7 linked regions of the Macaca mulatta genome follow. The main gene of each other region encodes a partner of the protein of the gene in region 3 in a complex. Links are inferred from orthologs where the notes say so. Each region holds a gene or a part of one and is shown on either strand. Other genes may lie near its edges.

Region 1 (4,316 bases), on a different chromosome or scaffold from region 3:
TTTAAAATTATGGAAGATAACTGAAAACTGATGCTCAACCCAGTTATTAATAGAATGATGTTACACAAAAGAGCTTCCATAAATGAATGAAATAGTGAAGATATCAAAACAACTGGCTTTTTTTGAACAAATGAAAAGTATCTTTTTAGTATGTTATACCCATAGTAATTAGTAGAATCACGGCACACTTTAATTCATCTGTTTTTGTTTGTTTGTAGTCACATAGTCACCGTACCTGTAACATGAGTTGCTCTAGCCAAGGTCAATATCAAGGCTCGGTTCAGTTCTTCAGATTCTGCTGAGAGCACTGTTTTGGGATCACTAAGGAAGCGTGTAAACTGCGGTTGTACCTCTGAGCTACCTAATGCTGTTATAAGCCTGAGAGCAGTGCTCTCGACACTGAAAAGTGGGAGAAAAAAAAGAAATGTAAAAAAATTTCAGAATTATAGAATTAAATCTAATTCTAAGGTTAATTACACTGGAAAAACATGCAATCTATATGACTATCCCTTCTTTAATTAAAAAAACACTTGTGTGTGAGAATAAATGTTGCTTAATTTGTTTAAAAAACCTAATGTGTCCAATTTTATAGTGAAAATCTTGACATTTTTACACATTTGAAAAAGATGACTTGTCGCCTATAGGACTAAAAAATTTCACCTGGAGATACTGCATTTCAAAAATTATATTTTTCTATCTAAAATATATTTTAATTTAAAGCAAAATCAATGTGACATGATACTTTAACCATAATCTGAAGTATACTTAAAAACAGCATTCTAAAGGGCTAAGTTACAACATAATAATAAATACCCTGAAAGTACTAATTCTCAGTCCAAAGATCCTGAAGCAAGAACTCAACTATCTTAATCAGTTTCTATTTAAAAAGCTGGACTCTGCTCCTATAATGGAAACAAAATACTTTAGAAGCAGAGAAGTTTTATGACAGATGAATTAAAAAAAAAAAAAAAAAACCTATAAGGCAAAGGATTAAGAACCTCATCTCCAAGAAAGTTTCTAGTAAATCTTAAGGAAAGATGGCCTTCAATGAGCTCACCAAAGATGGAGCTGGTTCTGGTTTGTTTGTGCAACTGCAGCCAAAGTATGAAGATGACTCAGGAGCTGAACTCGGTAATGAGGCTGAATATGATGCATCCGGTAGCTAAACATCTCAAGGAGTGTATGTAAGATCCCCCATGCATGTGATTTGAAAACAGTTGGCAAAAGCTGACCTGGAGGAAAAAGACAATTTAAGGTACCAATTAGTAAAGGCTATGCATTAAAAGATAGTTGAAGAAAGTCACATTGAGTGAATCAAATAAAGATTTGATTGCGAAAATACACACGCACACACATATATATTCTCCACATTTTCTTATTTTCTACTTTAACAGTAAGGAAAAATTCAGATCCTAACTATAATATCAATTATTTTTTCCTGGGACTTGGCAAGTGATAATCATGTTTATCTGGAAAAACAAAATGAGACAAGATACGAAAAAGCATTAATCTTCTCAATTCTGGTATCTTTTATTTTTAGACAGTTAATGTTCCATACCTTTTGAAGTATGAGGTTCACTTTTTAATACAAAAAACTGTATTTTTACACCTGCCCTTGTTTCCTCCTACCCCCGAGAAAGTTTTATTCAACAATCAGTTATCTAGGAAGACTTACTATGGTTAAAATTAAAACTATGCTGTATTCATGAAAAGCTGGAATTATGATGAATCAGAAAAACACTTCTATATTAGAAAGTATCTATTATTTTAGAACTACATAATAAATAACAGACATTATAATGTATTTTCTGCAATCTAAGAGAATTCCTTCTTTACTGCCAGTCAGCCTTTTGTATGCACTGGAGGACAGCATTACTGCCTCAGGCAGAATCCATTTGCATGAGGACAGGGACCATGTCTATCCTGCTCACCACATCCCAGGCACCTAGCACATTAACCTTTTCTTACCACTTTACCTAAAAATGCAACAAACCCCCCCTCCCACCCTCAAACTTCCTATTCCTTTTTGCTTTATTTTTCTCTATAACATGTATCACCTGACATATTATATATTTCATTTATTTAACGTCCCCCTCCATAAGCTCCATCATGGTGGTGACTTGTTCTCTGCTGTGTCCCCGGAACTAGAAAAGTACCTTTAGAGTTAATGAATGGATTAATAGTTATAAACACCAGAAAGTCCTGTCTTACTGATAAATCCTTTGATGCCCAAAGACTCTATTTCCATATAGACCAATAAACGACTGTAAGTTTCCACTAGGGCTGGAGCCAAGGCCACACTGGACTTTGCATGAGCAAGTTTTATCACCCTGGTTGCAATGCTGTGAATAAGGCTGAGGAGAAAAAAAGGGAAGAAAATAAAAATCCATATTTTTGACATAAACATAGGCGCTACTCTACTTAGAAGTAACTTAGTATAATTTGAACTTAAATGATTCAAATGAAGTTGATTCATTTAATGTGTCTAAATTGTGCAGGACACTTGGTAAGGATGCACTGCACAACCTGAGACTCATTCCGATTTCCATGGTGCTTTCAATATGCACACGGATCCCCCTGCTCATGGGAAAACAAACTTTGGGTTCAACTTATAAGAGCAAGCTTGAGAGATTTTGGTTACTCCAATGATGCATCAAAATACATTTGGGAAATTAAATAACTTCTGTCACAGATTTACTTTAACACATCATAGCTAAGACCCAAATGTTAGGTTCTAATGAGGCTTTGCTCAAATCTGTTATACATGCAAGTGAAGCACATGTGTAATTCTATCACAATGGTTACCACTTGAAAAAGAGCATAGCTCTACCAGAACTGATGCTCCACTTGGAGGCCCACAGACAAATTCTCTTAGGCCTATACGGTGGTTGTTTTAAATTTGAGCCAATACTTAAAGGCTGAAAGACTAGTAATAAAAAATCTGGATTTCTAGCCCTTCTCAAAAACGTTGGAAGCTCTAGCTACACTAGTCCTCCTTCTTACTATCTACAAAAAACGAAAAAAAAAAAAGTGCAAAAAATTTTTATAATGCTTATCTCTCATGGAGAGATTATGACAATTACTTTCTTTGGGTTTGTTTATCCTAGAATTCCTATAATAAAAAATATTTACTTTTGTAATAAAATAAAGCTATTTTTTTCCCTAAATGTACCTGACTATGAAAAATTACACACATAAAACCATGAAATAAAGGTTTATACTATACTCGTATCAATTCCCTGACATGGAATCAAATTAATAAAAAGAACATACCTCATTTTGGCATGAACTGTCAGTGAATCCAGGAGGTTCATGGGTAAGGGGGTAATAGATCCTGAAGCCATACAGTTTGTTCCAGGGAGAGGTATCCTCATAATTCCATTTCCATAAATAGTTTCTACCAGAGCTCCCATGGGTAATGTAAAACATTCTGAATTTGTAGAGTATGCATTACACAATAGAGCAATCTTATAGTCATTCATCTGTAAACTTTTATTTCTCAGACTCTGCTGCAGGAACCTAAAAATTCATGTTCCATTAAAAAGAAAAAACGAAAATTACTTCCATAATGTTAATTTGTATTTTTTTAAAAGTTCAATTTTATGCAATTATTTATTAATGCTATCTTTGTTCCTATACGTATTCGAGTTTCTGTGTGAAACGTATAGTGGGAATACACATAGAAGTTGAGGTAGTGTTTCAGAAGAAAAATAATTTTAAATAAACAATTAATGGGTATCTGTTAAGTATGCACTACATATACAGCCACCATATTAGGCTAAGTTTCAGAGACCGAAGAAATAACTCACAAGTCTGTGAACCAGGTTTCTACTTATTATCTGTCTGTATAAACACAACAATGTCTTCATTACAGATATCACTTTGAAAAGGTGGTTAAGGGGTATCTCATAAAATGAAAACCAAATGAAATATCAAGTCTGACTCCCCTGCCATATCCTATGAAGAGATGTGACAGTCTTTTTCAGAAGTTCTAGGTGGGAAGTTAGGCTATTCCTAGCACCCTTGACTACAATACAATACAATACTATCTAAGAATGGTATCTTCTTTGAGTCATCACAACTTTGGAAGAGATATTAAGGGGCATGCCAGCCAGATCAGCTCAATCATTCCTGGCAGCCCACAGATGAATATCTCAGTCAGCTCATGCTCAAGTTCCAAGCACTTGAGAAATTCTGAAACATTTTTACATTTATGAAACTTGATATGCTTTCATTATATTAATAACTTTATAACATATTCAACTGAAGATCAGCCTTGAAAAATTTTTTGTAAAAATCTATACATAAAAGCAAGA
Region 2 (4,316 bases), on a different chromosome or scaffold from region 3:
AATTATAAAAGATCATTCTTAGAGTAAACAAAAACAGTAGACGAAACTACTGCTAGTTAAATCAGGGGAGAAAGGAATGATACAAAAATACAAAATTAGGAATGAGAAAAGTAAACCCAAGGGTACTTTTGGGTTATCTCCAGGGTTTTAAATTTGAAAGCCAAAGCAAGTTAAGAGTATTACCCAAGAACTATGCCTTATTTCATGGGTAAATACATCTTTCAAGAGAATCTCCTTTTGAAATTGTTCCATTTCATACAGAAAGAAGAAAAGCTTTCCTTTACAAAGCCATGATAACACTTACAGAAAAATCTAGTAAAGGGAACACTAAAAACAGTCTCACTTTTGAATACTGATGCAAACATTGTAAATGAATTATTACCAAATACAGTCTAACATTACATTGAAAGTATAAAACGTGACAGTGGATTTTATTATAGAAATATAGTCAATGAAGCAGTAAAGGTATTAAAAAACTAATGCAATTCAACATTTATCCTTGACTAAAGCTCTTACTAAAACAGAAACAGGATGCTTCCTTAACATGAAAAACATATCAAAGCATCAGCAGTGGTAAAACATTGGGATAATTAGGGTGCCTATTTAAGATTTTACCAGTATACTAGTGAATACAATTGATACAAAGGAGATATAGAAAGAATGACAAAACAATGACAAAATTATCAATACGTGGAAATAAAATTAATGAGAAAACTCAGTTAATTGAGAAGTTATTAGAAATAATAAAGGTTTAATAAGGTGACCAGTTATAAAATACAAAAATAAAAGCTTTTTAAAAATGGATAGAGAAGTATAATTTACATTAGCAACAGAAAATATAAAATACAGAGGGAAAAATATAAAGAAATATACAGAACCTGTAGGAAGAAAACTTTAAAAGTCCATAGTGGCACATACAGATTTTAATAAAGTTTGAATTCTTGGTAAGATGTCATTTCTCCCTATATTGATCTTTAAATGTAATGCAATCACAAAATTTGAATGGATATTCTTTTTTAGGACTTGACATAATGCTTCTTAAGTTTGGGTCTTAGAATAATAATTGTGATAAAATGTCAGAAATTTTCAGGAGAATAGTAGCAAGGAAGTATTTTTCATACCAGATATTCATTACTTAATTTTCTGTGTTTTAAAATAGCACAGCATATGAACAAGAAAAAAAATAGGAAATTATAAAGAAGATCCAAGTATAGTGATAGAATTATAAATCAGAAGATAACTTAGCGCATTTGGATAAGCATTTGACAAAATATTTAGCTGGATCCCAACTTTATACTTTGTACCAAAATAAATTCCAGATGGATCATAAATTGAAGGAAAAAAGCCCTTAAGGGTATTAGAAAATATGGGTGAATTGTTTATCATTTTGAATCAGGAAAGACCTTGCTATGCCTGACAAACATGAAAGTAAAAGATAGATTTAAGTAAGTGATTCAGATTTCTGTATTACAAATAATTAAATACTGAGAGATATTTAAACTTGGGAGAAATTTTGCACTTATTTGTCAAACAAGTGATTTATTATTCATACTGTACAAATTTTAGATGAGAAGAATCTCTTAATCATTAAAAAAATCGGTAATACCATTAGAAAAATGGTCATATTAGAATTAACATTGTACAAAAGAAGAACTGTATATGACCAATAAAGACATAGAAAGATGTTTAACCTCAAAAGTAAACTACAGGGAAAAGAAACAGTGACGTACTACTTTGCCTTTAAGTTGCAAAATATTTAAAAGTGGCAGTAACCCATAGGATTAATTTTTTTTTTTTTTTTTTTTTTTTTGAGACAGAGTCTCTGTCCACCAGGCTGGAGTGCAGTGGTATGATCTCAACTCACTGTAGCTTCCACCTCCCGGGTTCAAGCAATTCTCCTGTCTCAGCCTCCCAAGTAGCTGGGACTACAGGCACACGCCACCACGTCCAGCTAATTTTTGTAATGTTAGTAGAGACAGAGTTTCACCATATCGGTCAGGCTGGTCTCAAACTCCTGACCTCAGGTGATCGGCCCACCTCGGCCTCCCAGAGTGCTGGAATCCCAGAGTGCTGGAATTATGAGCCACCATGCCCGGCCAGGATTAAATATTGTACAATTCACTCATGAACTGTTAATACAAATGGAAATTGGTATAATGTTTTTGGAGGGTAAACTGACAATGTGTATCAATAAATTACCAGCAACACTAATCCTACTTCTGGGAAGTTATTTCAAATATATTATTAATCAAATATGCAAGGAGAATTACAAAGATATTCATTAAGAAGCATATCATTCAGGAAATAGTAGCAAGGCAGTATTTTTTTATACCAGCTATTAATTACTTAATTTTCTGTGTTTTAAAATAGCACAGCATATGAACAAGAAAAAATAGGAAATTATAAAGAAGATCCAAGTATAATGATAGAATTATAAATCAGGAAATACCTCAGCGCATTTGGATAAGCATTTGACAAAATTTTAGCTGGATCCCTACTTTGTACCAAAATAAATTCCAGATGGATCATAAATTGAAGGAAAAAAGCCCTTAAGGGTATTAGAAAATATGGGTGAAAAATGATAACCTATATTTGCATCAGTAGAGATTGGCTAAATAATGATCCATCCATAAAGCTGTATGAAAGACTGCTGAACAACAAGTTAATTGACATAAGACTTGGAATACATATTGAATGACAAACACAGCTTCAAGATCGTTTTTTCTTTGAGTCATGTCAATTTCATATCTCTGGTTAAAAATAGCACACTTGACTAGGCAAGAGGAGGAGGCTATCAGTGTAACACATTCTGAGGCAGTTTTTAATATAATTAGATTTGTGAAGTAAGGAAATTAAATGCCATAGTTACCCATGAACAGCTGAAAAACTATATACTTCCTCAAATCTAAGCGACCATCAATTGGTGCCAAATAATTCCACCGTTATCTTATATCACTAAGAAAGAATAAACATGCTGCCAATTATAACACGAAGGCATCACAGATTGTAAGACATATCTTGATATCAGAGTCAGAATCAGTGAAATACAAGCTGGTAACAGACTAAGGAGGAAGAAGGAAAAGATTAGAGCAGAATTTTTTTCAGGACATATTTACATTTATTAGTGAGATAATTATTAGTCACATTTCAAGAAATGTGAGAAATAATTGTCTTTAAGGTTATGTTTTGCTCTTTGTACTTCTCAGAATATGAACAATGTGTTCAATCTTAGAGTGTTTTCCCTGACCTTGCTTGTTGATTTTCTGTAACATGTCTTTTCTAGTTTGCAATGGATTTTGGATAAACAAGATCTGTTGAAGGAGCGCCAAAAGGATTTAAAGTTTCTCTCAGAGGAAGAATATTGGAAGTTACAAATATTTTTTACAAATGGTAAACTTTTTAAAAAGTTGTTTGAGATTGTATAGTTGGTTACCTCTGAATTAAAATGTTTTTGTGTGGTAATTTGTAAACTGTTTTAGTGCATACCTAACATTTTTATTTATACAGGTGTTCTTTTTACAACGTATTCATTTCTGTTTCTTTTTAGTGATCCAAATAAAGTTTTTTGTGTGAATTTTACATATTACAGGCACTTAAGACAATTTAGAAGTGTTACCTAATCTCCCTAAGGCTTTGTAATAATTATTAGACCCAGTTCACGGTTGGCTAAAGCAAAGTACTTTGAGGATAAATGATTCTTTGGATTGGCATCCTGTAGTGGTCATGTCTCTTAGAACTTTGAAGGGAAGAAGATTAGGGATATATCTTTACTCTGACATGTAGTAGGTTTGTCACATAATTTTTTTAACTTTCAGTTCACTATTTTGTAAACTTATCTCTCTGGTTTTTTTTTTTTTTTTTTTTTGAGGATTCATTATGAATTTTTTTTTTTTTTTTGGTGAGCCGTATAAAGCTAAGTGTGGTAATCTTAGCACTTTGGGAGGCAGAGGTGGGTGGATCACTTGAGGCCAGGAGTTAGATGAGCCTGGCCAACATGGTGAAATCCCCTCTCTACTAAAAATACAAAAATTAGCTGGACGTGGTACACAAGAATCACTTGAACCTGGGAGGTGGAGATTGTAGTGAGCCCAGATCGCACTACTGCATTCCAGCCTGGGCGACAGAATGAGACTCTGTCTCAAAACAACAAAAAAGTGGTAGTATTAACAAGTTTCATAGGTGTCTAATATTTTCTTTTTATATTTATTTTAAAGCTAATATGAAAAGCATTTAAAATATTTAGAAGATAGAGGGGAAATACTTATTCAACTTCCTTAATGGATGGATAATTTTTTGCTGTGGGGCAATTTCTGTTT
Region 3 (3,338 bases):
ACACTGTATAAAAACAAACAGATAAAAGGTTAAAATATTACAAATAAATAGCTAAAATAATCTTCCCTCCCCCAGTCACTCCTAAGAAACAGACACCAAACATTACTTAAGTGTCCAAAATGACCAAAGTCCTTCATTTGCCCATGACTCAAATGGACAACTACCCCAAAGTTGAACAACCTTCATGCAAATGCATCAAGGAATGTATTGCTTTTTCATTTTCTGCCCAGCCCTTCATATACATGCACTAAAATGAGTTTAAAACATGGCCTAAAAATGGAAAAAGGGAGAAGAAAATATATATGAATATTTCCCACAAAACTGTTTCCCCCCCTTCCCTCTCCCTACACCCCTCCCACCCCCCTCCCTTTCTTAAGCAAGTATTTTAACTTTTTCTTTCTGGCACAGGAACAAAGACTTCTTGGTAACCAGAATCAAACACTGTGGTTTCTTTAATAGGGTCTGGATATGCCTTTCTAATTCACCCAGCTCGATGTCAAAGCCATGCCATTTAGGATTCTTAACCAAATCAGACCTGTCTGACTCACCCCTTATGGTGGTTTGCCTATAAACTTATCAATAGTTTCTTTTCTCTGGCCCTGTTTCTTTTAGGAAATAAGGTTCCTAATTCCCAATCAGGGCCACATCCATAAGATCATCATCTTCCTCCCCAATCATAAAGTCTGGGCTGAGCCTTGAGGGTCTATCTGCAGATAAGATTGTGTTACTTGTCATAGACAAGGACTGGTCTGAAGAGATGGGTGATTTGGACCAACTCTCTGGCTTGATGCTATGAGATTTTTTCTTGTCTCGGTCTTTGTCCCGGTCTCGGTCCCTATCTTTGTCTTTTACTTTCTTCTTTTCCTTTTTGTGCTTCTTATGTTTCTCTGTGCTGTATTCAGGAAGTGGTCGGATACCATCATCTGAGCTGGGACTATTCTGATAAGATTTCTCTGCTATGGAGGAGCCTGACTCACTTTCACTGTCCAGATTCTGGGGGGTATATGCTGGTGACTTACTATGGCTAGGAGAGCCACGCTCATGCTTTGGAGTGGAACCACTGATGAGTGGAGAGCCATAGTTTTTAGAAGAAGCCATCTGAGGCCTAAGCCCTTCTCCACTACTTTCCCCAGGTTTCTGCAAAGTCACTTTGGCTTTAATGCTGGGGGAGCCTCCATCATGCTTACTGATGATAATTTTTGCCACACCTGTGCTCCCCACATTTTTTGACTCTGAGGTCTTCTTAGAAGAATCCACTGAACTCCCAGAGGTGGAAACCTTTGATTTGTCTTTATCACTTTTCTCACGCTTGCCCTGAAACTCTCCTCCTGACATGTTATGTTTAGAGGACATAGGATGGCTGGAAGAATTTGTGCTCACCCCCATCTGGCCGTCCAGTGGGTCTTCACCCCCAGGGCCACTGGTGACAACCCCATGCTTCAGTTTATCTATGACAGCTGTCAAGGACGGCTTCTTATTTCTGCTGGGAGATTTTCCTTTGGAACTCCCATGCTGGTTTTGAGAGGATGACATGGAAGAGCCACTTGAGGAAAAGGAGGAGGAAGATGCTGTACAAGAATTAGATGATGGGGGAGTTTTCTGGGACAACGAGCCTGAGGATCCTAACCCTGAAGATGACTTCATGCCAGAGCTTGAACTAGTTCCAGACATATGAGAACCACCAGAACCTGAACTGATAGGGGACTTGGCTTTAGAGGATGGAGGAGTTCCAGGAACAGGCTTCATTGGAGAGGCAAGCTTGTCAGAGCCTCCAGGTGGCCTTGAATGAGAAGGGGATATGTTTGGTTTACTTAAAGAAGGATTCATAAGTGATGATGGCTTTCCTTGAGGTTTCATCTTGGTGCTGCTAGAGCCACTGCTCAGTCCATGCTTGGTAATGGGAGAGGAGCCTGGCTTCCCCCCAGACTGGGATGAATTTTTGGACTGGCTAGATCCAGAAGACCCCTGGCTAGCATACATACTGCTGCTTAACTTGGAACTTGATGAGCCTTCTGATTTACTGCTTTTCATCTTCCCTGAGGTGGAAGCAGAAGATGAGGAAGAAGAGGAAGAATGGCTATGGTGGCTTTTGCTGCCTGAGGAAGACACAGAACCACTGCTGGTATACTGACTGTGAGAGGAAGGCTTGCCCACCATCACTGTTCCCTTAGGAATCTGAATAGTGATTTTGGGAATGGGTGGTGTGGCAACACCTGGGGGAGTCTGAGATCTTCCTGAACTGCCTGGAGATTTAGATCCACCTGTACTGGTAGGTGGGGTAAAAGGTCGGTTAGAAGAACTATGAGATGGAGACTTTCCCTCAGTGTCTGCTTTCTTCCTCTTTGGAGGCTTATCTTTGCTTTTCCCATCATTAGAAGGGGTCCGACTGCGTTTCCCTGGTTTGCTGTCTAATCCTGGCCCCGCGAGAGTACTATTACTGGTGCCATTGCCTTCCTTTACCCTCTTTTGAGTCTTTTCTTTCCCTAAGTCCCCAGTGGTCATTAAAGGTCCCTGACTACCACTGTGATGCTCCATAAGATCTGCAGGACCTAAAGCTTTGCCGGCTACTGATATAATACTGAAATCAACTGTGTCAGCTTGGTTATTGGCCTTAAACTTGGTCTCCCCATTATCACCTCCAAGCATTGGCACCCCCAAAGTATTTAGTGCCTGAGATGCAAATCCTTTGAAATCATCATTATCCCCACTTTGGCTGCTTTCATCAAAATATTCTTCTCCAAAACCACTTTGGCTCTGGCTGTTCAATAAATCAGGATTGAAATCTACTCCATCATGAAAAAAATGATTGGTAGGAGAGTCACTACTGGGGCTTCCAGCAGCATCTGCAATAAGATCAGCTGGATCAGTGTATGGATTTTCATTATTGTTAGTTTGAAAGACATCAGAGTCAAAGAGGGTACTCTGAGAATGCCCAGAGCTTGAAGAATCTCGAAGAGGGGTGCCAATAGCTGGGCAATCATCACTAGTGCTGGGAAGTTTAGAAGCTTCTTCTGCAATGTCTGAAAGGATGTCAGTTACATCTGGGCCAATGCTGTCTGAACTGGATAGTCGGACCATCCTTTGAATACTGGGTTGGGGGTGAGGTACTGGTTGTGGGTAAGTTGTTGGGGGAGTGCTACACTGGCTTGGAGCTGGAGTGATGTGTGGTGTATCCAGTGTGTCAGCTGTCATGTTGACATCAAAGATAGGGTTCTGTGAGTCAACATCCATTGAAAATAGCTCCCTCTGAAAGTCATCTTCAGTCTGGTGCTTTGGTTTCTCGGGTGGTAATCTTGATGACTTCTTTTTCTTGGTCTTGTTGCTCCCCGAGCATATTT
Region 4 (4,316 bases), on a different chromosome or scaffold from region 3:
ACTCATTGCAACCTTGAACTCCTGGACTCAAGGCATCTTTTGGCCTCAGTCTACTGAGTAGCTGGGACTAAAGGTGTGCACCACCACACCTGGCTAATATTATAATTAAAGTGTCATACATTTACATATTATTAAATATGTCTTTATAGATAATAACAATATATACTATAATATGATACAATATTGATATAATTCCCACTGAATTCTACTCAGCAATGACTGGAGGTCAGATGTCTTCCCACCCTGGGAGTGTCCCCTCCACTGGGACAGCTCAAGCTGGTACTGCATTTCCCGTTGTCAAAATTTTCAAGACAGGAGCCTGTCAGTGACATGATACCAGCAGATTAAATCAACCACTCACCTCCACAGCAAATGATAGCAGCCACGAAAAGGGAGATATCGCTGTCATCCAGTTCCAGTGCATTGAACTTCATGGCAAAATCAAACTTGGGTTCCATGATATCACAAAACGGTTTCCTTAGGCTTTTTAGGAATTCACGAGTTATAAACCCATTTCCATATGCTACCAGCATCCCGTCTTTGTTCATCACCGAAGACAGCATGGCAAATATGGCCTCGTAAACTCCGTATTTTAGCAGTGTCACTTGATCGTTCAGGTCCAAGTTTGCGAAGCCTGGGATGGCCTTGGCGAATTCCGTGAGCTCCGTGACGGTCTCCACCGATGTGCACTGGCAGCAGTGAAAGATGCGGACCTCCGCCTCCTTGTTCTGGATGCCATTGGCCACCAGCTTGGCCACCAGTGTCTTCTCAGCCATACACAGTGTCTCCATATCGTGTATGACAAAAGGCTACAAAGGAGGACACCAAGGTAAGTCAGGTGATGTGGGATGCGCCACGCTCCCAGCCATCAGTTCACTAACGAGCAGCTCCTAACGAGCAGCTCCTGCGTCCACATCACCAAGTTCGGTGCCTCAGAGGACTCAAGAAACCCGCAGAACACAGTCCTCACTCAACTTCAAAATCGGCTGGGGAAAATAAGACATTAATAGAGAACGAACAGTATAAATCAGTAAAATAATAATCATCATCGCCTGACATTGGGTGGATTTCATTGCTAAGAAACTGAAGTACTGGGCTGGGCATGGTGGCTCATGCCTGTAATCCCAGCACTTTGGGAGGCTGAGGTGGGTGGATTACCTGAGGTCAAGAGTTTGAGACCAGCCTGGCCAACATGGTGAAACCCCGTCTCTACTAAAAACACAGAAAAATGTGGCCGGGCGCGGTGGCTCACGCCTATAATCCCAGCACTTTGGGAGGCCAAGGCGGGCGGATCACGAGGTCAGGAGATGGAGAACATCCTGCCTAACATGATGAAACCCCGTCTCTACTAAAAATACAAAAAATTAGCCGAGTGTGGTGGCGGGTGCCTGTAGTTCCAGCTACTTGGGAGGCTGAGGCAGGAGAATGGCATGAATCCAGGAGGCGGAGCTTGCAGTGAGCCGAGATGGCGCCACTGCACTCCAGCCTGGGTGACAGAGCAAGACTCCGTCTCAAAAACAAAACAAAACAAAATTAGCCAGGCATGGTGTGTGCCTGTAACCCCAGTAACTTGGGAGGCTGAGGCAGGAGAATCGTTTGAACCCGGGAGGCGGAGGTTGCAGTGAGCCGAGATCGTGCCACTGCACTCCAGTCTGGGTGACAGAGCAAGACTCCATCTCAAAAAAAAAAAAGAAACAAGAAACTGAAGTACTGATTTTGTCCACAAAACTAACAAGGATATTAGCAAAGCACCTTTAATATTCTTAAATATTCTCTGAACTCTTAACAACTACTGCAAGAGGCTTAATTACAATAATTCTTAATTTTACCAGTATATGCGCTTTAGAGGTGAACACCATTATTTAACGCTGCTCAATGAATCAATCTGGCATGTAAACACATACAACTCATAAAGTTGGCATCTATGTAGAAATCAGCAAACAAGCATTGTTAAACTCTTTAGGGATAAAGTGGAAAAGCCTCAGAATGCCCTTGTTTCTCTCAGTGCAGGAGACTGAAACCTTCACTCAGTGCTCCACGTTCTGGAGCAAGTGCCACGTCCCCACAGCCGTGCCTTGTGTGGTCCCACGCCCTCTGCATCTAAACCCAGTGGCCTGCCATTTCCTGAAGATCTTGTGGTGGAAGAGGTGGCTGGTCATATTATTTGAAGCCAGCATGCTCAGAAGGGATTACATGTGTGGGAGGGCCGGGGAGAACGAGCACAAACACTGCTGTTGGCTGAAATTTACGTGTGGGCAGAGCAGGAAAGTGACAGCATCTGAGGGATCTGTTTACGATGTGGTCCGTGGCTCATGCAGACAAGGTCAATAATGCAGTGGGCTAAGGTGTTATTTCTTTTCTTTTTCTTTTTTTTTTTGAGATGGAGTTTTGCTCTTGTTGCCCAGGCTGGAGTGCAATGACACAATCTCGGCTCACTGTGACCTCGGCCTCCCGGGTTCAAGCGATTCTCCTGCCTCAGCCTCCTGAGTAGCTGGGATTACAGGCAGGCGCCACCACGCCCAGTTAATTTTGTAGTTTTAGTAGAGACAGGGTTACACCATGTTGGTCAGGCTGGTGTCGAACTCCTGACCTCAGGTAATCTGCCCACCTCAGCCTCCCAAAGTGCTGGGATTACAGGGGTGAGCCATTGCGCCCAGCCTAAAGCATTATTTCTTTTTTTTTTCTTTTTTTTTTTTTTTGAGACGGAGTCTCGCTCTGTCGCCCAGGCTGGAGTGCAGTGGCCTGATCTCAGCTCACTGCAAGCTCCGCCTCCCGGGTTTACGCCATTCTCCTGCCTCAGCCTCCCGAGTAGCTGGGACTACAGGTGCCCGCCACCTCGCCCGGCTAGTTTTTTGTACTTTTTAGTAGAGACGGGGTTTCACCGTGTTCGCCAGGATGGTCTCGATCTCCTGACCTTGTGATCCGCCCGACTCGGCCTCCCAAAGTGCTGGGATAACAGGCTTGAGCCATCGCGTCCGGCCGTAAAGCATTATTTCTAATCGCTGCTGGAACAGTGGAGCCCAGAGTGCAGAAGCATCCCAGGGATTTAAAGAATGCCCCCTGCCAGTGGGCAAAACACAACCACTGACAATGCTTCTGATCCACAGCGTGAAGTGTTTCCTGTTTCTGGGCTCACAGCACAAAACTGTCTTCAGGGCACCGGTGGAGGTGCCGATAACCATCACACAGATTGTATGGAATGTTTCAACAGAACCAGGACTTGCAACATAATGCTGGATTAAAAACCCTGATTCTGCATCTGAGGAAAGGGGATATTTTAAAAATTACTCACAAATGAGTGAAAACATTCTGAATACAATATTCAGAGCCAAGTTTCTAAATAATCTGAAGTCTGATTAACAAAGACTGAAAATGATCTCTCTCTAAAGACCTTAAAAACAGTTCAGATGACCATTGTTTGTTAAAGTTTGGAGATAATTCTGCTTCACAGAAAGTTGAAGCTCAGATTTGAGGAATTAACATTTCTAGGAGGGGCCAAATTTTTTTTTTTTTTTTTTTTTTTTTTTTTTTTTTTTGAGACGGAGTCTTGCTCTGTCATGTCGCCCAGGCTGCAATGCAGTGGTGCAATCCCGGCTTATTGCATCCTCTGCCTCTGCCTCCTGGGTTCAAGTGATTCTCCTGCCTCAGCCTCCCAAGTAGCTGGGATTATAAGCGCAGACCACCACGTCCAGCTAATTTTTTGTATTTTAGTAGAGACGGGGTTTCACCGTGTTACCCAGGCTGGTCTTGAACTCCTGAGCTCAGGCAATCTGTCCGCTTCGGCCTCCCAAAGTGCCAGGATTACATGTGTGAGCCACTGCGCCCAGCCTCTAGGAGGGACTACGTAAATATTTTTAAAGGATCAATAGCAGTATTCCCTCAATTCCAGAAAATAGACTGTTAGGCCACCATCACTTTATTCAAATCACTAGATCTGTCTAAAGGACATTCAGCAGAAATAAAGGTGTTGAATACTTTTTTTAAAAAATGAGTTGTTTAAAAAATATAAGAAACACTGAGTTAAATGAAGTTGGGTCTCCCCAACTGAGTCTTTAACATGATAAATGTGCAGTGTTCCAGAATGAGAATGAGGCTAGGATAAGCAGGTGTTCCTACGGTGTTCAATTACAGAATGCTTAGTGTTACTTATTGTTTTTTGGTAGAGCATCTTCTAGGACAAATGCAGGCCTGGCTACATAATTTGCGGGACCCAGAGCAAAAACGCAAATGTGGGACCTCTTGGTTTTTCTTTTTTGAGACGGAGTCTCGCTCTGTTGCCCAGGCTGGAGTGCAGTGGTGTGATCTCGACTCACTGC
Region 5 (4,316 bases), on a different chromosome or scaffold from region 3:
AATAAACTAAACTAAAACTGCCTAAAATAGAAATTTTATATAACACTGGAGTGAATGTAGGTCATCGGCTGAGCAGCTTTTCTCCCTTGGGACTAAGCTGACCTGAACCAAGTTACAACAAACACAGTATTAACTACTTGCATCATTTTTCACTTCCAAGCATTTTACTTATAAAAGTGCAAGCATTTCATAGAGTTGTTCAGAACAACATTACCAACTAAAAATAGCAATTGGTGTTTTAAGAAGCTCTCTTATGGTAAAGAGGTATTTGCTGGCTTTTACTAATCGGGTATTTTTCATGCAATAAAATTGTGGGAACTGATTTTTGAAGGCTTTGAAAATTCTGAACATTGCCCTGTATACCTATCTTCAAGATAAGGTGATTAGAAAAACAAAGGAAATGTAAAACTTTTGTTTAAAACATGTTTAGCTTTGGTGCTGTAAAATTCCCTTTGAAATCCACACATATCTGTAGGAAGTAGGTTTAAAAAGATGGAGCGAAAATGCATTCATTTACATACCGAAGCACTGAGGCAAGGAAAGGAGAAATCAACTCCCTGTAAGTATGTGCATCAGAAAATGAGGGCCCCCTGCAGAGTAAACACAACTACAACTGCTGTCTCAGGATACAGACCAGAGCCAGAAAATGCAAAGGATTTCTGATCTAAGACACAGAGTAGCTTAGAAAAATAAAGAAAATAAATTTAGAAAATTCAAACATTAAGAACTAAAAGTGATACATATATTATTGCCTAAAGTCCTACATTAAAAAAACAGTAAGAATTTGCTTGCCTCTTTTCTCAAAAATTCTTAAAAGTTCAGAGAAATATCTCCTCTATTTAAATCTAAGAGTTAAAGAAATCTGCCAACTCTTTTTCATTCCCTGCTTGAGACAGGGTCTTACTCTCCAGGCGGAAGTGGTTGTGTGATCACAGCTCACTGCCATCTCAAACGCCTGGGCTCAAGTGATCCTTCCGTCTCAGCCTCCCAAACAGCCAGGACTACTGGCACACATCATCACTGACACCTGGCTAATTTTTTTTAAAAAAATTTGTGGAGACGGGGTCTTGCTATGTTGCCCAGGGTGGTCTCAAACTCCTAGGCTTAAGTAATCCTCCCACCTCAGCCTCCCAAAGTGCTAAGACTACAGGCGTGAGCCACCACATCCAGCCTAGCAACTCTTATATCAAGGTAGAAGGCCAACTAAGCAACCAGCCAATCTCTAGGTTAGATAAAATACCTCTCCTAGCTTGCATTTTAGTATAAATTTTCTAAGTTCCTGTCCTGCCAATACCCACCTCAGGGTTCTTGAGGGTCATCTCAATGCTGGCTGCAGGCCCAAATCCCGTGAGGGATTTAATGTGGATCTGTGTAGGCAATGGTCGCCTGCACTGGCAGTACACTGAAAATGCCATGGACTTCAAGTATTGAATGTAGAAAACTTGCTCATCCTTCATTGTCTGCAGCATGTACTGGCAAGGCACAATCTAAAGACACAAATACAAAAAACAAAACAAAACCAAAAACCTAGAAACTGAGATCTAACACGCTAACAAGCAAGCTGAAAAAGGAAACGGCATGAATTCCTTACCACAATGGGGAGAGGTAACCTCAGCCCTAAAATATATCAGTGTCACACATAATATAATTAAATCCTAATTCCTTCCACTGACATAAAATTCTCTATCACCAGCAATTTCGAAAGATGTACGATTATATGGGTCAAGTTATACTGTCACTTAGAAACTACCATGTTCCCATTTTAGAGGTAAGATCTCAATTTATTACAGGTATTACCATGGCCCCCAAATTGTATTATATTTCTCCTTTTTATAATTACACAGTGTGTGTGGCATTTTTTGGAATTATTACCTAATCATTTAGGATACAGACTTCAAAACAATGGAAAACTATCAGCAATGTACTCTGATAACTTTAATTTCAATCTTTTAATTTTACAAGATAGCTTCAGTTAAAGTGACATTAAAATGAAACCCAAACATCCGAAGCACTGTTTTTCATCTATATAGAATTTTTAAAAAAATCATTACACTATAAAGCTGTCAAAGGGGCAGTGAAAATAAGCATACTCATTCACTGATGAAAGGAAAGTAAGTGTAATCTCTTTTGGAATGGAATTTGGCAATATGTGTCGCATCTACATCTAAGAACCCATGTTAAAAAATGACCTGAAATGTGAAAAATAAGATTATACATAAATGTGTACTATGGCTTTATTTATAACAGTAAAGAAGTGGAGATATAGGAATGGCTATGGAAAATATGCAGTCATTAAAAATGCTTGTAAGAATTTAAATAACATGAAAATGTATTCATGAATAACATTAGATAGAAACTAAGTTATATTAAAAGTATGATCTCAACTGTGTAAACAAAAATAGAAAAACAAGCTAGAAAAACACCAAAATGGTAATGGTGGTTGAATGTAAAAGTCAGAATTATGATTATTTTTTCTTTTATACTTTCGGGTACAGGTTGAATATCCCTAATCAAAAAATCTGAAATCCAAAATGCGCCAAAACTCACAATTTTTGGAATGTCAATAAAACGCCACAAGTGGAAAATTCCGTATCAGACCTCATGTGATGTGCTGCAGTCAAATTTAATCAAAACTTTGTATAAAGCACAAAATTATTAAAAAAATTGTATAAAATTACCTTCAGGTTAAGTGTATAAGGTGTATATAAAACACAAATTTTATGTTTAGACTTGGGTCCACTGCCAAGGTCTCCCATTACATATATGCAAACATTCCAAAATCAGAAATCCAAAACACTCTGGTCCCTAGTATTTTGGTTAGAGGATAATTAACCTGTACTTCTATTTTTTAAGAAAAACCATAAGCCTGTATTTATTTTCACAACAACAAAAACATCAACATCAAAAGTAAATAATAAACTTGCAAACAGTAACCTGGAGAATGAAAGAACTTCTCATATGCTCAGGTAAATTATCCAGCATTTCTGTGTAGCAGCGCATCAAGCTCAACAGCCAAAAGTTCCCAGAAGTGGAGTCCTCCTCCGCAGCATAAGTGAATGGGTCTACCATGTAAATGACAACGGCTGGAGGGTGGGCATGGCTGTCTGCAGAGTCAGGCTCCGTGGGAATTCCTATTCTCTCCCTTTCTGTAACACTGGCAAGAGAGTCACTTGTGAGACACACAAAATAAACATAAATTACATGAGTATGAAAAACAAAAGTGCTCAATACTAGAGCACACAGGCTCCCTAAAGAATATTTACAGATTAAATGTAAGAGTAACATGTATCACCTTACCAAAATACAGGCAAACCAAGCCAGAGAGCATTGAAAGCAGATGGAAAATGGCAATGTACTCCTCTAAAATGGGAGATATCTTTTTCAAACTCCCCTTTCTTTTCTGTGGTTATGTTGTACAAAGTTGTTATTAAGTTGATTGTAAGTTTAATAATAAGGTTTATAAGTCATAATAATTTATAAGAAGTCTCAAAATTTTAACACTGCAGCTTTAGATTGACCATTACCCCTTTCTTTTGAGAAGAAGAGAAATAGAGCACTTCATAGGATTCAGAGAATCATGAGGTCAAGGGAGAAAAGGTGCGGAAGAAGAGAGAAAGGGTCTGAGCTGAGGCCACTCGTCTCAATTAGTGAGTAACATACCTCTCTTGTCCATCCTGTGAGGGCTGAGAAGAGCTCTGCCCAGGGTCAGTGTCTCCGCCACAGCCTATGCTCCCTTGAGTTCTATCCGTAGAAATGCCCCCAGTGCTGGGGTTCTGCCCTCCAACACTACCACTGAATCCTGAAGAAGAGGTAGTGCTTATCTGGCTAATACCAGGAGCAGAGGCAGACGATGAGACCGGTGGCACAGAGGAACCAGATGCGGAACTACTTGCTGCAGGATTTGTAGTACTACTATTCGAGGTGGGGTTAAATGCACTGCCAGCTGGGGGAGCTGCTGATCCATTTGGAGCTAAGGGCCCAGCATTCCCAGGCGTAGCCTGTCCCTGTGCCGCTGCTGGTGGGGTCTGGTATTTAGGTGGTATCAACAGGCTGCTATCAAGCTGCAGAGTGGCTAAATAAGGTGCTGAAAGAATACATGCAAAGAGGTGACTTTAGTGATATTCTGCAGTGTCGACTAAACCAGAAATCTAGAATGGTCACTTGTAAAAAAATTATGCTTTCAAGCTGCAATACTCTGATTACAATACACAAAATACTATCTCCACACTCATGCTTATGTATTCTGCAAACATGGAAATGCACACGGAGCAACTTATAAATTCTACTGAAGAGGCCTGTTTGAAAAGAGAAAATCA
Region 6 (3,692 bases), about 56 Mb from region 3:
GCCTGTTGTCCTGCTGGGGTGCTGTATGTAGTACAGGATCCAGTCTAGGCTGTTGTCCTGCTGGGGTGCTGTATGTAGTATGGGCTTTAGTCCAGGCCTGTTGTCCTGCTGGGGTGCTGTATGTAGTATGGGCTTTAGTCCAGGCCTGTTGTCCTGCTGGGGTGCTGTATGTAGTATGGGCTTTAGTCCAGGCCTGTTGTCCTGCTGGGGTGCTGTATGTAGTATGGGCTTTAGTCCAGGCCTGTTGTCCTGCTGGGGTGCTGTATGTAGTATGGGCTTTAGTCCAGGCCTGTTGTCCTGCTGGGGTGCTGTATGTAGTATGGGCTTTAGTCCAGGCCTGTTGTCCTGCTGGGGTGCTGTATGTAGTATGGGCTTTAGTCCAGGCCTGTTGTCCTGCTGGGGTGCTGTATGTAGTACAGGATCCAATCTAGGCTGTTGTCCTGCTGGGGTGCTGTATGTAGTATGGGCTTTAGTCTAGGCCTGTTGTCCTGCTGGGGTGCTGTATGTAGTATGGGCTTTAGTCTAGGCCTGTTGTCCTGCTGGGGTGCTGTATGTAGTACAGGATCCAGTCTAGGCCTGTATGTTGCATTTTGCTGTCACATCTTAGTCTCCTTTCATCTCAGTGGTCTTTTCTTTTCCATGACTGTGACAGAAATGATTTTGTATCCTTCATGTATCTGCAGTCACATGAAGTCTATTTGTCCCACTACTGGTGACATTAATTTTGATAACTTGGTTGAGGGTGGTACCTTCTAGGTTTCTCCATATTAAGTTACTATTTTTCCTTATGTATTTAATAAGTATCTTATGGGGAAATCCTTTGAGACTATGTAAATATCATATTACATGCCCATTTTAGCATCTTTTGAAGATATTTGTTTGAAACATTTTTTACTGTGGTGATTTTCGAATTCTGTCATTCTGCATTTATTAGTTTGGAATTCGATTGTAAGGCAGTACATTCCCTTGTTTTCTATTTATTATTTTATTAAAGAAATTTACATCCATTTAGTATTTTATCCTGTGAATTAGAATTATGTATTTTCTTGCTCTGAGTATTCTAGATTTGGCCATTGGGAGTCCCTTCAAGTTGGTTCCTGAATACTTTTGATCGTCCCAATAATTTTTAGCACTTTTTCTTCTGGCACTACGTAATGTTCCAGGCTCATCTTGTACTTTCCCTCTCTTATCCCTGAATCACCCTTTTCTCCAAGGAAACCTGCTCCTTGGATACCACAATCTGGACATTGTGTGTTCATTAGTACCACAGTGTCATTGCTTCTAGGCCCTCTCAGTACACAAAGCTCAAGAACTCTATGTTTGTATGTGTATCCATGCACACATGTATACATCTGTTTATCCTGTCTACCTATATTAAAAGCCCTAAGTACATACTAATGTTTTCAATACCAGCTCAGTAACACAGGATTCATTCTAGCCTTTTTCCTTTCCTTGTCGAAATTTGGCTGTCCTTATCCACAGTATATTTACTTGTCCAATCCTAGAGTATATCTAATTTCAGAGTTGGTATATCCCTGTGGACAAGAAGAGTATAATGTATGTGCATAGTTCTCTTTCAAACCAACTCACTTTTAAATGAAAGTTGTCTTTTTATCACTATTGATGGAAAAACAAAGAACTATCAATTAAACACAGAATTAGTAAAATATGTTCATGTTCTTCACGTTGGAAACCACTAGAAGGGAATAGCATGGTTTGTCCCTACATTTTCACTCTGCTTACCAGTTACTGTGTTGTGTGGTCCTGAGCAAGTTTAAATTTAATCTTTCTGAACTTAAACCTTCTCACTTTCGAAAATATTGCTGAACACTGACCTTTGATGACCAATCAGGGAAAACACCCTATGCTGCCAGTGTGTACTAAGTTAAAGAAATGGTAGGCTACAAGATCATTTTTAAGAGAATAACTTAATTAGACCTTGGCATTATTTACTTAAATTATGTTGTTCATTTACTTATAAACTTAAACCCAGGTACCCTCAGTGTTTACACATGTTAGAGCTGCTCCAATACGAACACTTCCGAAAGGAGCTGGTGAATGCTCAGTGTGCGAAATTCATTGATGAACAGCAGATTCTACATTGGCAGCACTATTCCCGGAAGCGGATGCGCCTTCAGCAAGCCTTGGCAGAGCAGCAACAGCAAAATAACACATCGGGAAAATGAAAAACCGGATACAGATGAGGCTCTCAATACATGTATATAATGTATTTCTTTTGTACAGTGAAGACAAAAAATGAAAACTCTTCCTATCTACCTTTATTATGGTAGCCCCTAGAACCTTTAGTGTGCTTTTTAATCCAACTTTTTATTGTTAATAGACTATTTCTTTTAAACCTGAATTGGTCTACTTTGATTTCCCTGTGGATTTGTAAGGTGTTTTCTTTTGTATGCATTTAGCATAATCAGCTGATTAAGAATGGAAAAGTTAGGTGCTTTAGACCAAATGAGGCACTGGGGCATGGGGTAGGGGTGGGCCACCAAGTATACTGAATTCTAAGGCTAGCTCTTCCTGACATATAGTAGCGCAAGGCCATCTCCTGGAACCTTACTGTCTCTCAGATCAACTACTCTACCACTCTTATCTATGTAGTGAGAGTAGCGGAGTCAGTGACCTCTTTAAATCACAGGATAGGAACTGCATAAAGGTTCTCAAATTCTGCAGGACAGGAAATCCCTGTATTACCTGCTTTGCAAGGTGGCTTTAAGAATCACTGTGGCCTCATTTGACCTAGTCATGGCAGGACAACTAGTGGTTAATTACTAATTGGACTCTTGACTTTAGAACAAACATGAGGAGCCTCAAATACTTGTGCTCATTTGGGAAAACTAACATTGATTTGGGAGGTACCACATACCAGGTGCTATGTTAAGTGCTTCCTTGAATTCTCATTTTATTCTCAGAACCTTGTTTACAGAAGAGAAAACTGAGGTTTGGATGGGGCGGGTAACTTGCCTGTGGTTACACAGCTAGTAAGTGGTAGAATCAGTGTGACTGACTCCAGCTTGGAGTTCTTCCCACCACTGGGTTACACAGTCTCTCCAGCCCCTCGCCGCCACCTGCCTAATCCCAAGTAAAGCACGTTGAGAGAAGCCACAAAACGAACTGCCTCTAGTGCTCAGGGTCGGTTTTTTCATGAACAAAACAAAACTGCCTGAATTAAGCAGAGGCTGGATTAGAGGTAATATGCTTCCCTCAGTGGTGAGGTTAGGTTCTACGTTCCAAAATCAAAGAAGGGGTTTCAGGACTATCAGTTGCTTTGCAGATGCAGAGAATTTAAAATAAAAGATCCTGATCTTTTGAAAGATTTGGAAGGTGTGCTCTGCGCCTTTAGGAGTTTTTAGGTATTTCCGTCACCTTCAATGATACATTCCTTTGAGCCTTTACTGCTACTTCTGAAGACTTGTTTATATCTTAAAAATATCCATATATTACAGGCAAACTAAAGGTTCATGGGCATTTTAATAGCACCCTACTGTTTAGACACATGCCAGTTTTTTAACCTCATTTATTGCTAACATGTATTCAAAGCAATATACAGTTTATTGATACTAGAACAAATCAGGAAATCAAGACATGATTGCCATCATAAAATCTTAATCTTCAGAGAACAACATTTCCACCAGGTTGGCCTGAAGACACTCAGATTCTACCAGTTTTTGAGGCTGTAA
Region 7 (5,090 bases), about 670 kb from region 3:
AAGCATTCATGAGGCCGGGCGCGGTAGCTCACACCTGTAATCCCAGCACTTTGGAAGGCTGAGGTGGGCAGATCATGAGGTCAGGAGATCGAGACCATCCTGGCTAACACGGTGAAACCCTGTCTCTACTAAAAAAAAAAAAATACAAAAAATCAGCCGGGCGTGGTGGCAGGCGCCTGTAGTCCCAGCTACTCGGGAGTCTGAGGCAGGAGAACCCAGGAGGCGGAGCTTGCAGTGAGCCAAGATCGCACCACTGCACTCCAGTCCGGGTGACAGAGCGAGACTCCATCTCAAAAAAAAAAAAAAAAAAGGCCGGGCGCAGTGGCTCAAGCCTGTAATCCCAGCACTTTGGGAGGCCGAGATGGGCAGATCACGAGGTCAGGAGATCAAGACCATCCTGGCTAACATGGTGAAACCCCGTCTCTACCAAAAAAGACAAAAAACTAGCCGGGCGAGGTGGCGGGCGCCTGTAGTCCCAGCTACCCGGGAGGCTGAGGCAAGAGAATGGCGGGAACCCGGGAGGCGGAGCTTGCAGTGAGCTGAGATCCGGCCACTACACTCCAGCCTGGGCGACAGAGCAAGACTCCGTCTCAAAAAAAAAAAAAAAAAAAAATTCATGAGTATTTGTTGATAGAACAAGTGAATGTAATCCTATTTCTCTTTTGGTGGTTGTTGTTTTTAAGAGATGGAGTCTTGTTCTGTTGCCCAGGCTGGAGTGCAGTGGCACAATCAGTGCTCACTGTAGCCTCGAACTTCTGGGCTCAAGCAATCCTCCCACCTCCGCTTTCTGAGTAGGCGGGGCCACAGGCCTGTGCTACCTGCTACTACTCCCAGTAGAATAAGTGAATATAATATTCATCACAACAAATGAAGTATTATTATTTTTATGAGAACACTGAAACTCAGTGAAATGATCTGTTCAAACAAATTCATCTAGAAAGCGTAAGCTGACAATTGTAAAACTGCACCCCAAATTTTGTTTTGTTTGTTTCCTGAGACAGGGTCTCACTCTGTTGCTCTGGCTGGAGTGCAGTGGCAGGATCATGGCTCACTGTAGCCTTGACCTCCCAGGGCTTAGGTGATCCTCCCACCTCAGCCTTCCAAGTAGCTGGGACTACAGGGGCACCACCACGAAGGGCTAATTCTTTGTATTTTGGGGTAGAGACTGGGTTTTGCCATGTTACCCAGGCTGGTCTCAAACTCCTGGGCTCAAGCAATCTGCCTGCTTCAGCCTCCCACAATGCTGGGATTACAGTCATGAATCACTGGGGTCCAAATGCACTTCAAGTTTTTTATCCCCAAAACTCTCACTTCTTGGTGGGGGTTTTGGGGGAGCTTACCTGGGAACTAATGGCATACTTCAGGTAGGACAAGATGAGAGGATTGGGGGATGGTCCAATCATGGCCTGCTCTAGTAATGCATCTGCAAGAGGAATAACAAAACACGATTGAGTGATTACAACTTCTCTGGGTTTATCCCTCCCATCTTTCTTTCCCAGTTCACTTGAGACCTGCCAGGTTGAGAATGTCCCAGGTGGCTCCTTTAGGAAAGAATTTCTTCATGTTGATTGCCCACTGGTAGTCACTCCAACGTTCCTTCCAGGCTTGCAAAATGGCTTGCTTCAGGTTGACTACCTTCATGATTTCACTCTGAGCAGGTGGCAGCTGTGACGGCCAACTTTGAGGTGAAAGAAGTGGATCTAAAGAAAAGGACACGGCCGGGCGTGGTGGCTCAAGCCTGTAATCCCAGCACTTTGGGAGGCCGAGACGGGCGGATCACGAGGTCAGGAGATCGAGACCATCCTGGCTAACACGGTGAAACCCCGTCTCTACTAAAAAATACAAAAAACTAGCCGGGCGAGGTGGCGGGCGCCTGTAGTCCCAGCTACTCGGGAGGCTGAGGCAGGAAAATGGCGGGAACCCGGGAGGCGGAGCTTGCAGTGAGCTGAGATCCGGCCACAGCACTCCAGCCTGGGCGACAGAGCGAGACTCTGTCTCAAAAAAAAAAAAAAAAAAAAAAAAAAAAAAGAAAAGGACACGATGTTCGAAGGAGAACCGGGGAAGGCAGAATTAAATAGAAAGAAGATGCGGTGGCCGGGCGCGGTGGCTCAAGCCTGTAATCCCAGCACTTTGGGAGGCCGAGATGGGCGGATCACGAGATCAGGAGATCGAGACCATCCTGACTAACACGGTGAAACCCCGTCTCTACTAAAAATACAAAACTTAGCCGGGCGCGGTGGCGGGCGCCTGTAGTCCCAGCTACTCGGGAGGCTGAGGCAGGAGAATGGCGTAAACCCGGGAGGTGGAGCTTGCAGTGAGCTGAGATCCGGCCACTGCACCCCAGCCTGGGCGGCAGAGCGAGACTCCGCCTCAAAACAAAAAACAAACAAACAAAAAAAAAGAAGATGCGGTAAGATTTAAGCTAGGCAGCGGAATTTGAAAGAAAAAGAGCTAAAGAGATAAGGTAAGATCCTGTCAGGCTTTCTCCTCCTGAACCGCCCTTCCTTAAACTGGGGCACTAAGAAGAAAGTATAGGCCGAGCGCAGTGGCTCGCACCTGTAATCCCAGCACTTTGGGAGGCCAAGGCGGGCGGATCACCTGAGGTCGGGAGTTTGAGATCAGTCTGACCAACATGGAGAAACCTCGTCTCTACTAAAAATACGAAATTAGCCGGGCTTGGTGGCGCATGCCTGTAATCCCAGCTACTCGGGAGGCTGAAGCAGGAGAATCGCTTGAACCCGGGAGGCGGAGGTTGATGGGGTGGGCCGAGATCGCGCCATTGCACTCCAGCCTGGGCAACAAGGACAAAACTTTGTCTCTCAAATAAATAAATATCAAAGGGACTAATAGAGTAAAGAGGGCATCAAGGAGTTAAGCCAGTCCTCGTTGCCTAATTACGCCCTTAGCTCTAAATGCGTCCTTCGGTCACCACTACTCCAAGTCCAGATTTGCTCCCTCATTTCCTCCACCTTCTCCAGCCCTGTAACTATACCTCCCAATTTCCTTTTCATCCACCACCTCCCCAAATTTAAGCCTACCGCACAATCCACTTCTAGGTCGTAGGCATCGCCATTTTGGCACTTGTCAAGAAGTTCACTTTCTATTGGCTGGGAGTAACAAACGCAAACCAATAGAGATGCAGCAAGGAACGTCCCGCTGTCTTCTGGGAATGGTAGTTTTTTGGACTGAAACCGTATTTGTCTGCGCTGGCGAAGAAACTAAGAGACTAGTCTAGTCGGCGCGCATTGTTCCTCTCCTTTAAGGGAGGACATCCAGGAGCTGAGACACTACAGAGACTCAGGGACTCGAGGAAGCTCGAAAGGTCGCTCACAACCCGGCGTCGCCCACGACGTCACTGTCGACCGGCCTTCTCCATCATATTCCGACACCCTTTCTTTCGTTAGCCCCTAGTTAATAGGTGCGGCAAGGGTGTGGCGTTCAGCAATACGGCCTTTCTCTTTTCCTGGGCTCTTTCTTTTCTCCTAAACTCCTGGGGCTTCCAGAGCTATTCTCATTTCCACACCTATATTCTAAAAGCGACACTAAGGTGCCTTACTTGCACACATATCACCACCCCCGAATCTGACAGTCCTATCAGCATCTCCAAGCCCTCCAAACAGCTTGGATACAAGGGAAAGTAAAGGAGAAACTAAGGTGAAGGTGATCAAAATCAAAGGAATTCTGAGAAACTGTCACAGCTAAGAGGGCTAAGGAAACCTGATGACTAAATGTAATGTGATTTTCTGAATGCAATCATGGAAGAGAAAAAGAATACTGGGTAAAAACTAAGGAAATCTAAATAAAGCATGGACTTTAATTAATAATAATGTATCAGTATTAGTTCATTAGTTGTTACAAATGCATCATACTAATGCTAAGATGTTAATTAAAAGAGAAATTGGGTGCAGAATATGTGGGGACCCTCTATTACCTTCCATTTTTTTCCTGTAAATTAAAAACTATTTTCTTAAGTTTCTTGTTGTTGTTGTTGTTGTTGTTTAAATCTTGCTTATCCCAAAGATCCATAAATAATAATATCCAATTATTATGCCCAGGGCCTTGGCCATAGCCTTTCCTTCCCCTAGTGAGAAAGCCAAAAGCAAATGTTACCCACCTCTGGCTCCAATGTCTGAGCCTTCTTATGCATAGCCCTCATCCCTCCCCATACTATGGACTGGTCATCCCTAACATTTACAACCAGGAATAAGAGTAAATTACTCGAGAGGCTGAGGCAGGAGGATCACTTGAGCTCAGGAGTTCAAATCCAGCCTGGGCAACATAATGAGACTCTCAGCTCTACCAAAAAAATAAATAAATAAACATGGAGGCCTTTAGCCAGGGCCCAATATCCTAGTTCACAAGTTCAAGCTCAATCCGTATTCCCCAAAAACGATTCTTTTTTTTTCCTTTTTTTTTTTTTTTTTTTTTTGAGCTCACTGCAATCTCAGCTCACCGCAACCTCTGCCTCCCAGGTTCAAGCGATTCTTCTGCCTCAGCCTCCCAAGTAGCTGGAATTACAGGCGTGTACCACCACGTCAGGCTAATTTTTGTATTTTTAGTAGAGATGGGGTTTCACCATGTTGGTCAGGCTGGTCTCAAAATCCTGACCTCAGGTGATCCACCCACCTCAGCCTTCCAGAGTGCTGGGATTATAGGCATGAGCCACCGTGCCCAGCCTTCGACAACCATTCTTTGCTCACCCTTTGAGTGGCAAAATCAGTCCTTGGGGGGATAAATCTGGAAGAGCAGCCCATTTAAGGCTCTGGAAGTAAAACTGGCCATTTGGGCAGAGAATTACAGCACCCTGGGTGTCTGGAGCACGGTCTAGACAGGGAGTCAAGGACTTCTGTTCCAAAGGGGAGAGTGTGGCTGAAGGAGGGTCAGATCATGTCCCTCTGCGGTTGGTACTGCCTATGGCTTTTCTTCCTCCCCATACATTCAATCCACACCCCTCCCTTAGGCTCCCTTTGTGCCTGCCCAAGGGACACCACTGGGGAATAGTGTGTATACAAAACAGCTGCCAAATATATGTTGCCAAAGCTTCTAAAGCAGGAAGGAGGGAGAATATGGATTCCTCACCTCACCTTCCA

Evidence for each region.
Region 1: MED1 (region 3) and MED23 share a complex: the UniProt entries of both Homo sapiens proteins name them as parts of the mediator complex. The link is inferred for Macaca mulatta from reciprocal best matches to the Homo sapiens genes MED1 and MED23.
Region 2: MED1 (region 3) and CCNC share a complex: the UniProt entries of both Homo sapiens proteins name them as parts of the mediator complex. The link is inferred for Macaca mulatta from reciprocal best matches to the Homo sapiens genes MED1 and CCNC.
Region 4: the proteins of MED1 (region 3) and PPARA are in contact, whole or in part, in a crystal structure (PDB 9IWM), measured with the Homo sapiens proteins. The link is inferred for Macaca mulatta from reciprocal best matches to the Homo sapiens genes MED1 and PPARA. Residues at the interface, in NP_004765.2 of Homo sapiens: Asn638, Thr639, Asn641, His642, Pro643, Met644, Leu645, Met646, Leu648, Leu649, Lys650; in NP_001001928.1 of Homo sapiens: Val284, Thr285, Thr288, Glu289, Lys292, Phe297, Leu302, Asn303, Gln305, Val306, Thr307, Leu309, Lys310, Pro458, Leu459, Glu462, Ile463.
Region 5: MED1 (region 3) and MED13L share a complex: the UniProt entries of both Homo sapiens proteins name them as parts of the mediator complex. The link is inferred for Macaca mulatta from reciprocal best matches to the Homo sapiens genes MED1 and MED13L.
Region 6: MED1 (region 3) and MED31 share a complex: the UniProt entries of both Homo sapiens proteins name them as parts of the mediator complex. The link is inferred for Macaca mulatta from reciprocal best matches to the Homo sapiens genes MED1 and MED31.
Region 7: the proteins of MED1 (region 3) and MED24 are in contact, whole or in part, in a cryo-EM structure (PDB 8T9D), measured with the Homo sapiens proteins. The link is inferred for Macaca mulatta from reciprocal best matches to the Homo sapiens genes MED1 and MED24. Residues at the interface, in NP_004765.2 of Homo sapiens: Phe375, Asn377, Gly436, Leu437, Gln439, Glu441, Ser453, Asn459, Asp460, Ser461, Leu462, Val463, Cys464, Tyr480, Lys481, Gly482, Asp485; in NP_055630.2 of Homo sapiens: Lys7, Ile10, Trp14, Lys15, Arg17, Leu47, Ala50, Met51, Ile52, Gly53, Pro54.

Annotation. Positions count from the first base shown.
Region 1 is NC_133409.1:36,639,311-36,643,626, forward strand, and holds part of MED23 (mediator of RNA polymerase II transcription subunit 23), read right to left. Parts: intron 3,520-4,316; coding exon 3,274-3,519; intron 2,355-3,273; coding exon 2,212-2,354; intron 1,233-2,211; coding exon 1,058-1,232; intron 400-1,057; coding exon 236-399; intron 1-235. UniProt on the Homo sapiens protein: Required for transcriptional activation subsequent to the assembly of the pre-initiation complex. Component of the Mediator complex, a coactivator involved in the regulated transcription of nearly all RNA polymerase II-dependent genes.
Region 2 is NC_133409.1:86,300,331-86,304,646, forward strand, and holds part of CCNC (cyclin-C), read left to right. Parts: intron 1-3,283; coding exon 3,284-3,390; intron 3,391-4,316. UniProt on the Homo sapiens protein: Component of the Mediator complex, a coactivator involved in regulated gene transcription of nearly all RNA polymerase II-dependent genes.
Region 3 is NC_133421.1:63,743,189-63,746,526, forward strand, and holds part of MED1 (mediator of RNA polymerase II transcription subunit 1), read right to left. Parts: coding exon 625-3,338; 3' UTR 1-624. UniProt on the Homo sapiens protein: Component of the Mediator complex, a coactivator involved in the regulated transcription of nearly all RNA polymerase II-dependent genes.
Region 4 is NC_133415.1:5,248,638-5,252,953, forward strand, and holds part of PPARA (peroxisome proliferator-activated receptor alpha), read right to left. Parts: intron 810-4,316; coding exon 362-809; intron 1-361. UniProt on the Homo sapiens protein: Ligand-activated transcription factor. Key regulator of lipid metabolism. Activated by the endogenous ligand 1-palmitoyl-2-oleoyl-sn-glycerol-3-phosphocholine (16:0/18:1-GPC). Activated by oleylethanolamide, a naturally occurring lipid that regulates satiety.
Region 5 is NC_133416.1:123,231,341-123,235,656, forward strand, and holds part of MED13L (mediator of RNA polymerase II transcription subunit 13-like), read right to left. Parts: intron 4,085-4,316; coding exon 3,661-4,084; intron 3,155-3,660; coding exon 2,935-3,154; intron 1,488-2,934; coding exon 1,299-1,487; intron 1-1,298. UniProt on the Homo sapiens protein: Component of the Mediator complex, a coactivator involved in the regulated transcription of nearly all RNA polymerase II-dependent genes.
Region 6 is NC_133421.1:8,125,579-8,129,270, reverse strand, and holds the end of MED31 (mediator of RNA polymerase II transcription subunit 31), read left to right. Parts: exon of another isoform or gene 1-337; intron 338-357; exon of another isoform or gene 358-1,993; coding exon 1,994-2,186; 3' UTR 2,187-2,897; downstream 2,898-3,692. Other genes in the region: TXNDC17 (thioredoxin domain-containing protein 17), read right to left, coding at 3,618-3,686. UniProt on the Homo sapiens protein: Component of the Mediator complex, a coactivator involved in the regulated transcription of nearly all RNA polymerase II-dependent genes.
Region 7 is NC_133421.1:64,410,278-64,415,367, forward strand, and holds the start of MED24 (mediator of RNA polymerase II transcription subunit 24), read right to left. Parts: upstream 3,087-5,090; 5' UTR 3,039-3,086; intron 2,792-3,038; exon of another isoform or gene 2,599-2,791; intron 2,452-2,598; exon of another isoform or gene 1,701-2,451; 5' UTR 1,642-1,700; coding exon 1,512-1,641; intron 1,424-1,511; coding exon 1,341-1,423; intron 1-1,340. UniProt on the Homo sapiens protein: Component of the Mediator complex, a coactivator involved in the regulated transcription of nearly all RNA polymerase II-dependent genes.